Rattus norvegicus: one gene and its partners. The main gene of each other region encodes a partner of the protein of the gene in region 2 in a complex. Links are inferred from orthologs where the notes say so. Each region holds a gene or a part of one and is shown on either strand. Other genes may lie near its edges.

What was found. The genes of interacting proteins can lie anywhere in the genome.
Region 1: Cir1 (region 2) and Nkap share a complex: the UniProt entries of both Homo sapiens proteins name them as parts of the notch corepressor complex. The link is inferred for Rattus norvegicus from reciprocal best matches to the Homo sapiens genes CIRSR and NKAP.
Region 3: Cir1 (region 2) and Sap30 share a complex: the UniProt entries of both Homo sapiens proteins name them as parts of the histone deacetylase complex. The link is inferred for Rattus norvegicus from reciprocal best matches to the Homo sapiens genes CIRSR and SAP30.

The regions. Positions count from the first base shown.
Region 1 is NC_086039.1:121,255,714-121,258,860, forward strand, and holds the end of Nkap (NF-kappa-B-activating protein), read left to right. Parts: intron 1-2,388; coding exon 2,389-2,563; 3' UTR 2,564-2,647; downstream 2,648-3,147. UniProt on the Homo sapiens protein: Acts as a transcriptional repressor. Plays a role as a transcriptional corepressor of the Notch-mediated signaling required for T-cell development. Also involved in the TNF and IL-1 induced NF-kappa-B activation.
Region 2 is NC_086021.1:78,586,310-78,589,809, reverse strand, and holds part of Cir1 (corepressor interacting with RBPJ 1), read left to right. Parts: intron 1-71; coding exon 72-145; intron 146-738; exon of another isoform or gene 739-763; coding exon 764-774; intron 775-866; coding exon 867-931; intron 932-1,257; coding exon 1,258-1,306; intron 1,307-2,846; coding exon 2,847-2,964; intron 2,965-3,500. UniProt on the Homo sapiens protein: May modulate splice site selection during alternative splicing of pre-mRNAs. Regulates transcription and acts as corepressor for RBPJ. Recruits RBPJ to the Sin3-histone deacetylase complex (HDAC). Required for RBPJ-mediated repression of transcription.
Region 3 is NC_086034.1:37,761,494-37,764,325, forward strand, and holds the end of Sap30 (histone deacetylase complex subunit SAP30), read left to right. Parts: intron 1-1,996; coding exon 1,997-2,119; 3' UTR 2,120-2,332; downstream 2,333-2,832. UniProt on the Homo sapiens protein: Involved in the functional recruitment of the Sin3-histone deacetylase complex (HDAC) to a specific subset of N-CoR corepressor complexes. Capable of transcription repression by N-CoR.

The DNA.
Region 1 (3,147 bases), on a different chromosome or scaffold from region 2:
CAGCACCCACATGCCTGTAACTCTATTCCCAGGGAATCTGAAGCCCTCTTCTGGCTTCTTCAGGTACTACACATATGTGAGGTACAGAAATACATTCAGGCAAAACACACATACACATAAAATAAAAAAAATCAAATAAAAACTTATCTGGGTATATTGGTGCATATCTTTAATCCTGGCACTCAGGAGGCAAAGGTAGGTGGATCTCTGAGTTCGAAGGCAGAGTAAGTTCCAGGACACCCAAGGCTACCCAGAGAAACTCTGTCTTTAAAAAAACAAAACAAAACAAAACAAATACTAGTAATAATAGAAATAAACATTAAAGAAGATCTCTATCAATGGAGACATAGCATGTTCAAAGTTAGAATAGCAATATTGTGAAGTCAGTTCTCTCAGATTTTTTTTTTCGGAGCTGGGGACTGAACCCAGGGCCTTGCGCTTCCTAAGCAAGCGCTCTACCACTGAGCTAAATCCCCAACCCCTCTCTCAGATTTATAGTCAATAAAATTTCAATCAAAATCATGGCAGTTTATGAAACTTAGTTAAGTGGTTCTAAAAGTATTTGTTAGACTAAAAGGCCAAGAGTAGCCATGTTAGTTCTGAAAAACAGTAGAAAAATAAGATGAGACCTATGTAAGATTTAAGGAGCTTGCAGGATTTAGGAAGCATTTGGATTAGCCTAAATATTCAGTGGGATAAAATGCAGAACCCAAAGCCAGTTGTACATGTGTGGAATTTTGGTATGTGAAAGATAGCATGTCCGATCTGTGCAGAAACAAGTATTCAGAGAATGGTATAGCAAAAACATCATGTTTTAAAAGAATGTAGAATACTGAATCACCTTATATAAAAGGCAGTGTCACTAGATTAAGTACTTTCAGAGAAAAAAAATTGTTTTCTAAACAAAACAAAAAAATGTGCTGCCCCAAAGTTTACCTAAGCTAAACATAAGAACTTATGTCTGTCAAAAGACATATTAAAATGTGAAAACTCTGGGTTTGTATAAGATTCATGGAATACACATAATTGATAAAGTATTGGTAGAGAGAATATTTAAATACCTATAAAAATACGGGGAAATGACATGGCCATTTATGAAAAGAATACATATGTCCTATACATAAATGATATTTATTGTTACCGGAAATGGAAGTCAAGACCTGAGTGCAATACTGTTTTGCATACATTTAATGGGAAAAGGTTCAAAGTTCCGACAATGCCAAATACTTGAAAAGCTGTGGTGCCACAGGACCTCTTAAACACTTCTGGTAGTCTATCCTTTAGTACACTGAAAAATCAATGTGACATTATCTTAGAAAGTCAGGCTCTCATATGCATTATGAGCAAGCAGCACCACACTATGGTACCTATGGACTAGAGGCATTTATGCGAGTGCTTGTTATAGCATCACTGTGTGTTGCTTCCTGTTCCTTATAATAAACAGAGAACCCGCAGTACTCAAATAGCCAAAATCTGTTGCCATCTCCTTAGCTCTCCCATGTTATCCCTAGACACCTCCATGCTAACCTGAAATGATTCTCTCCTCTTTACCCAGTCTTTCATGGTTTTTCTTAGAGATGCGTTCCTTGAACTGATTATGTAGGCTTGGGTATGTATACACAAACGGGGTCATTAATACTGCTCTCTGCCTAGCAGACCTTCTGAGTCTAATTTCCTCTGTCTCTGTATTTTACTGATCTAACTCTTAGACTGAATTCCCCTTCTGTTTTCTTTGTGATGCTTCTGGATTCTAAGGAAATTAAACTATCCACAGAATGCCTCTTCACTTATAAGTTTAGACTTGATTCTCCTCTTTGTATCAATAAAGTTGAACCTTAATGTGCCACTTGATTAATTAAGAGAAATCTTTCATCTGTCCTGCTCTGGACTCCACAAAGACAAACAAACAAACAAACAAACAAACAAAAAACCCACTATTACTGGCTGGGCATGGTGGCCAATAATTTCAGTGCTCAGGAGGCAGAACAGATGGATCTGTGTGAGTTCGAAACCAGCCTGGTTTGCATACAGCACTTCATGCTAGCCAGAGCTACTTAATGAAACCCTGTTTTAAAAGAATCACCTAAAATATTTAATAAGTTTCCCATTTTGGTTTATTCAAAATAACAAAAATAATTTGTATTTAGTGTTTGAAATTAATGGTATCACCTATGTTGACAAAACATTGGAGATTATTATTTGAATACTGGAAATAAGTCAAAGGAAAAGGAAACATCAACAGGTAAAATACACATTCATTTAACAACCCATATCCAGTGTCTATTATCATCTTGTAAATAGAAGATTCTATATTAACAAAGGATTAATGACAACATACTATAAGAATCATTAGTATGAAATGAAGTAAAAAATAAAATTTGTCTCCAGGCATCGCCGAATGGAGGCTGTCCGACTTCGGAAAGAGAACCAGATCTACAGTGCCGATGAGAAGAGAGCCCTTGCCTCCTTTAACCAAGAAGAAAGACGGAAGAGGGAGAACAAGATTCTGGCCAGCTTTCGCGAGATGGTGTACAGAAAGACCAAAGGGAAGGATGACAAGTGAGGGCTCTCTGACTTTGCAAGTGGACATTTTAACATCAAAAAGGAAATGTGGGTTCTAGACATAAATACAAAAAGCTTATTGTTTTGTTTCTGTTTTGAGTTCTTTTTTGATGTGTGGTTTCAATTAGCCCAGGTTGACCTCAGGCTTTGTAGCCAAGGATGACTCTGAACTCTTGGTCTCCTGTCTCCACCTTCCGAGTGCTGAGATTCCAGGTGTGTGCCACCAGGCCCAGCCAAAAAGGCTATTGTGCTGTGAAACGGCTTTTCAGGGCTTCTGTGCCTTCTTTTTAATTCTTCAGTCCTTCAATAAAAGATGCTTGTAGATATAATTAGTACATTACTTGGGGCTTTTTAAGATCTACCCTAGTCTTCTGGTTTAAAAGTCCAAATTCTGAATGAAGTCCTGCTATGTTAGGAAGGTGGCCTAGAGAGAAAGCGGCAGATGAATGAGGAATTTAAATCTCACATCATGATCTGGTGTGACCATCATTAGCCCCACACAGTGTCTGCCGCTACCCCAGAACAAGTTGGGGGTTCATATCTTGTCTTGAATGTGTTACAAGTGGACTTGACAGGAACTATTTA
Region 2 (3,500 bases):
CAGGGTTCCTTTTGAGATAGTGTGTGGTCATCTTCTTCCTTGACTGAACCGTTTATCGTTATTTCATTCAGATTGCTTATGGGAGATGAGCGTGTAAAGAACGGCCTGAATTTCATGTATGAAGCCCCGCCAGGAGTTAAAAAAGGTATCTTTCCTTTGCACTTTGATGTAATTGCCTGTAAAGATTTGGAAGAGGAGACAGTATTTTTTTTAATTAATTTATTTGTATATTTTATGAATGCGAGTACGTTATCACTCTCTTCAGATATGCAGAAGAGGGGATCTAATCCCATTACAGGTGGTTACGAGCCACTCTGTGGGTGCTGGGATTTGAACTCGGGACCTCTGGAAGAGCAGTCAGTGCTCTAACCACTGAGCCATCTCTCCAGCCCGAGACAGTATTTTTAGAGGGTATTTGTATTTTTCCATGGCTGTTGCTCTGACAATCTTGTCACAAGCAAAGTAAAATAAAGAGTTTCCAATGTAGTAGCTTATGTCCTTTGGGGGAATGCTCAGTACTGGCAGATAAACGTTCAGCCCTTTCACAGTGCAAACATATCTGTAGTCCTTATTAAAATACATTTTCAAATGCAAAGTCTATCACTGCCAGTGAAAACATAAAAGCTTAAAAATTAGGAGTTAACATGACTATTCTGAACGATACTTCAATGTTGTATTGTATCCTTCAGTGGTAAGGTAGACTTTTCTGCTGACATTTCTAACTTGTCCTGCTTTCCCCCTGTGCTTTGAATCTGCAATCAAGAAAACAAAGAGGTAAAGTACTTTTCTCTGTTTGAATTGATTTATAGTTGATTGTGATTTTATGGACAGTTGACAGATTTTTTTTTTTTTACTGACTGTGGTAGAAAGAAGAAACGGAAGGAGAGACAGAATACAAGTTCGAATGGCAGAAAGGTGCTCCAAGGGAAAAGTAAGACTGGTTCTTATGGGGAATGCATATGGCTGTCTCCAGTCCTCCTTGCCTCCTGCTTGTTAAGGTTCACTCACCAGAGCAAGTGACTAATTTGAAAGGGTGTTTTAATGACTTACCTCATGCAAACAGTGTGCTTCATCCAAGCCTGGATTTATGTGCTTGCTCGTTCTTTAAAACTACATTATCAGACTTAAAAATTGATGCTGGTTTTTTATTTTATAGTAATAATACACTTTATAATGTTTAAAAACTAACCTTTTTTGGGTTAGCTGATTGAATTTGTTACGTTGTTCTTAGTCATATGTTTGTTTTGTACTTAACAGATATGCTAAAGATGACATGAACATCAGAGATCAGCCCTTTGGTATTCAGGCAAGTGGCACATTTACTCTTTAAGAATAATTTTATTTAGCACATGTATCTTTACATTATTTTCCCCAAAATGTTTGTATTAGAGTTCTCTAAAGAACAAAACTGATAGGATGAGAAATACACACACACACACACACACACAGGAGAGGAATTTATGATGCTCCCTTAGAGGATGTGTTCAGGTAGTCAGCTGTTTGGTCCATGAGGTTGAATGTCTGCAGTCCTGGAGGATTCTTAGGGAGCTGCTGGTCTTTTTAGTCTGCATTGGAATCTTGAAGAAGTTGGATTTAATATGAGCAGCAACAGGATAGAGCAACTTGAACTTGCTAGTGAGAGAAAGAGTGCAAACAAGCAAAACTCAAAGCTTCCGTCTCTGAATTCTTCCTGTGTGGCCCAGGTTTAATAATCCGATCAAGAATATCCCTCACTGGAGTGTAGAACAGTTTGAGTTGATTCCATATGTAGGGAGGTTGCCAGCCAAGATTAGCATCATAGTGTTTAAGCTCAAAAAGGACTTTGTGGTTTATATTATGTCAAATGATCGGACTGAGGAGAAAACATGACCGTGCTAGGCACATGGAAGACGAGGATCAAGCTAGTGAAGGGGTAATGATGCGGTCACTCCGGCTTTCAAGTCATAGAGAACTGACTCAAGGTCGAGAAAAGATGTCAATATAAACATTACTGGGGATAACATTTGAAATGTAAGTAAATAAAATAACCAATAATTTTCTTTAAGAAAAGGATTACTGATTCAGAAACAGTCACCTGTCACTCCAGGCTGATCCCGTGAGAAACCTTGCTCAGTCATGTGCGATGTCTGTAGCAGCTTCCCTGCTGCGTCTGTCACAGCAGCAGAGCGGAGTGGCTGCAAACAGACACAGCTTAACACAGCGTTGTTACTTACAGAGTAGATTTGCTCACCACTGGCTTAGAAATGTGAAACGTCAGGGCTTGAAATAATAGCTCAGTGAAAAAACACTCACTTTGTGTGTTATGAGGGGCTGGAGCAGGACAGAAAAGAAAGGAGAAGGAAAGAGTAGCTGGGTAGGTGGCATGACTTGTTTTTCCAGTGTGTGAAAGGTAGAGGCAAGGCAAGAAGATGGAAAGCGTAACCTGGGCTATCCTGTGTAACGAGGGAGGAGGAAGATTTAAATGAGGGTATTAAGATTAGGGAACATAACATTAAACCATGCCATGACTCTTTGTGATATTTTACCATTTCTTTTTTAGATGACATTTTATAACAAGATTTTAGTATTTACATTGAATTACCTACTATAATTATAGAATTGCTTTCCCTGGAGATCTTTTTTAAAAGTAATTTAGCCAGATGTGGTGGTACATGTTTTAATCCCAATGATCTAGAAGTGTAAGTGGATGGATCTCTGTGAGTTCAAGGCCAACCTGATGCACAAAGCAAGTTCTAGACCAGTTAGGGCTGCATAATAAAACCTGTCTTCAGAGCGAAAAAGAAAAAAGCAGGGTGGGGGATCTAAGTGAGATGAGAATCAAAACAATGTTTATTATAATTTTTCAGGTTCGAAATGTAAGGTGTATTAAATGTCACAAGTGGGGCCATGTGAACACAGATCGAGAGTGCCCCTTGTTTGGTCTTTCCGGGATCAATGCAAGTTCAGTTCCTACTGATGGCTCAGGTAGGTATTAGACAAAAGTTATTTGTTTTAGAATTTTGTCAAAAAAGGAAAGATAAAATAACGTTTTTATTTACCTGAACTCTTTTGTTGCTCTTGAGTTTAATTTTCATTCCCCAAATAGAATGACCAGAGCCAGTGGTGTGACTCAGCAGTAGAGGATTTTGTGTGTTATGTGTATGAGGTCCTGGGTTCAGGCCCTAGCATGCCACTCGCTCCTCCCTGCCTCCCTGAAAGAGGAGTAAGTGGGAAATCCTTCGCTGTCTGTGTTAAAAAAAATTTTTTTTTCTTTTTTTCGGAGCTGGGGACCGAACCCAGGGCCTTGCACTTGCTAGGCAAGCGCTCTACCACTGAGCTAAATCCCCAACCCCCATGTGTTAAATTTGAAGTGCTCTGCAAGAGTTTAATTTTTTTAGCCAAGTGTCTGTGTGAACTCTGTTTATTGTTTTGTTCTGTTTTTTTGTTTTGTTTTTTTTTTTAAGCAAGGTCTCATAAAAACCAAGCTGGCCCCAAACTCACTGTGTGTGTGTGTGTGTGTG
Region 3 (2,832 bases), on a different chromosome or scaffold from region 2:
GATGATGAAATAGAGAAATGCAGTATACTGAATAGTACATTACATGCAGTAAAGTCAAAGTTAATAGGCCTATCGTGGAAGAGTAGAGATCTTTAGAAACATCTGTCTGCCACTGAGAAAAATCTCTTCAGTGAGTACTCAGTGGATTATATTCAGAGTATGTACAGCGTCTTTTAATAGTGATTTTTAGAGTAAATATTCAATAAGAAATTTTTATCATCGTTCTAGAATTCTGTTTTAAATTTCTAATTATTCAATGAATATTTATTGAGGGAATATAAATATGGAGTGGAATTGAAATGGAATATTTCCATTGCAGGATGGAAAATAAATAGCTTATAAGTATTTATTAGAATTTAGTTTTCAGAGATTCTGTGGAACAAGTCTGCAGGGTTTTATTACTTTCTAGCTTTACTTTCAGATACATTTGCCTTTGTTAGGAGTTTTAAGTAGAGGATACTTTCTTTACATCAAGAGAAAGAACAAAAATAAAGCTTTAACATAAAGTTTGTTTTATATGGGACTTAGTTCCTTTGGTGTATTTCAGAAGCTAATAGAGAGTGAGTGTGTGTGTGTGTGTTGAAGAAGTAATAAAGCCACAAGATCTGTGAACGGTTAAAATAACAGATTTAAGTAATTATACTTTTTATTCAAAGCAAACGTTTCCATGGAATAGACACATCAGAAGTCTGTATGTGTGAATCAACACATACATATTTATGTAAGAGTGTGCCTGTATTCTTCAGCTGGACTTTAATACTTAGCCTGCATTTCTAATGTGCAGAAGTAAAAGATAAATGAGTTACATTTTTTTGTAGAAAAGCTCTTTAACATTAAAATTCAGTATGCTAACAAGCCAAATCTCCTATATTTCTTGCCTAGGCAACAAAAATATTTTTTTCTTTAAATTTATTTAAAAGTTCTCGTCCTTTTTCGGCTGCATAGTACATAAATGTGAAGACATTCCTTACTGTAATAAAATATACTAGTCACTAATCTAGTACAGTCACCCCGTTCTATAACAAATAGCCAGGATCTGATGCAAAGTTATATTTAAATATAGAACTCAAACTCAAAGCCCTTGAAATCTAGTCTTGAAAGACAGTTTTATTAGTTCAGATTCCGATTCTAGAAAAGCAGGCAGTCTTCAGTCTACGAATATCAGCTGCGTGGTTTCTCAGCTGTTGGTAATTGTGGCGTACATGTTAGATTTGTGCAGTAAAAGTCAGGGAAACAGTCCTGTTGAATATCCCTCCAGCTCCTTTAATTTTCCATTCTTAAATTTTATTCAGAAAAATTTGCAAGAAACTTAAGAAGAATTAATATCAATTGCACCAATGATATTTATGGTATGGTTTATTACCAAGGTTTTTTTTTCTTTTTATTAATCTTTTCCTGTGACTACACTCTAAATGTCTAAATGTCTTCATGTGATGGACATCAGTTCTTCTGTTTTATTTCATTGATATTTAATGTTTACGAATATGTAGCTTGGGCTGGAGAGATGGCTCAGTGGTTAAGAGCACCGATTGCTCTTTCAGAGGTCCTGAGTTCAATTCCCAGCAACCCCATGGTGGCTCACAACCATCTGTAATGAGATCTGATGCCTTCTTCTGGTGTGTCTGAAAACAGCTACAGTGTACTCATATAAATAAACAAACAAAAAAATAAATCTTCTTGAAAAAAAGAATATGTAGTTTGCAATCTAAAGTTGTAAAGTTTAAAGAGAAAATACTTATAACAGGTGCACATTAATCAAGTTGACCAAAGGGAGTAAAATACACAGAGTCAGAGCATATTGAGTTCTTTGAAATCAGATTCTTTTGTTTATAATATCTTGTTTGTGTGTGCTTTGGAGCGTGTTGATACTCTGTTAAGACAGCTTAATCTTTAAAAGTGTCATGTGGTCACATAACTCGTTGGCAAAGTAGTGTCTTCTACTCGGCTCCCAGTGTCTGCTCTATCTAACTTAATTTGTCTGTTTTTTAATTTATAGATAGTTGGTTGCCACTTTAAGTCTATTCCAGTGAATGAAAAAGACACCTTAACATGTTTCATCTACTCAGTGAGGAACGACAAGAACAAATCAGATCTCAAGGCGGACAGTGGTGTCCACTAGGAGAGATGCCCGCACGTAGACGTCTGCTGTCAAGAGTGTTTACTGTTCTTCCGATGTAGAAACGTTCTTGTGTATTTTTTCTACAGAGGATTTTCTTTGGCTTTTTGTTTTTGTTGCTGTCGTTTTTGATCCTGATAATTAGTTGGAAACTCATATAAACTGAGCTTCCTAGATTAAACATATTTTAAATAAAGGTTATTACTATTACAGCTACTTCAGCCTGTTTATTTTATGAAACTTTGTTTTTGTTTGAAGCTTTCTGGGGCTGGCATTAAGATGTCAGGGAAAGGATCTTATTTTGTAAGCCTTTCTTTAAAATTCCAAGTAATTAAAGGTAAAGGAGGAATGACAGACATGACCCAGTTGCCTTCCCTAGGCCAATTTGATTTGTAATTAAGCATTCTTGTTTTGTTTTTGTTTGTTTCTCTGTGTAACCCTGGATGCCCTGGGACTCACTCTGTACAGCAGATTTTCTCCCACTCAGAGATCTGCCTGTGTCTGCCTCCTGAGTGCTAGGATTAGAGGCAGGCACCGCCAACTGCCTGACTAGCATTTTGTTTTTTAAAGTGCTTTACAATGTATGTTAGCAAATGTGAAAATCAGTCTTTCATTACTTTTCAATCACTTTTAAATTTCCCTTTATGCGTTGTTATTCCTTGAGGACCTATGGAAAAAAAAGTTGTTTTTGTGCCTCTCTCTTTCCAAAGACACCC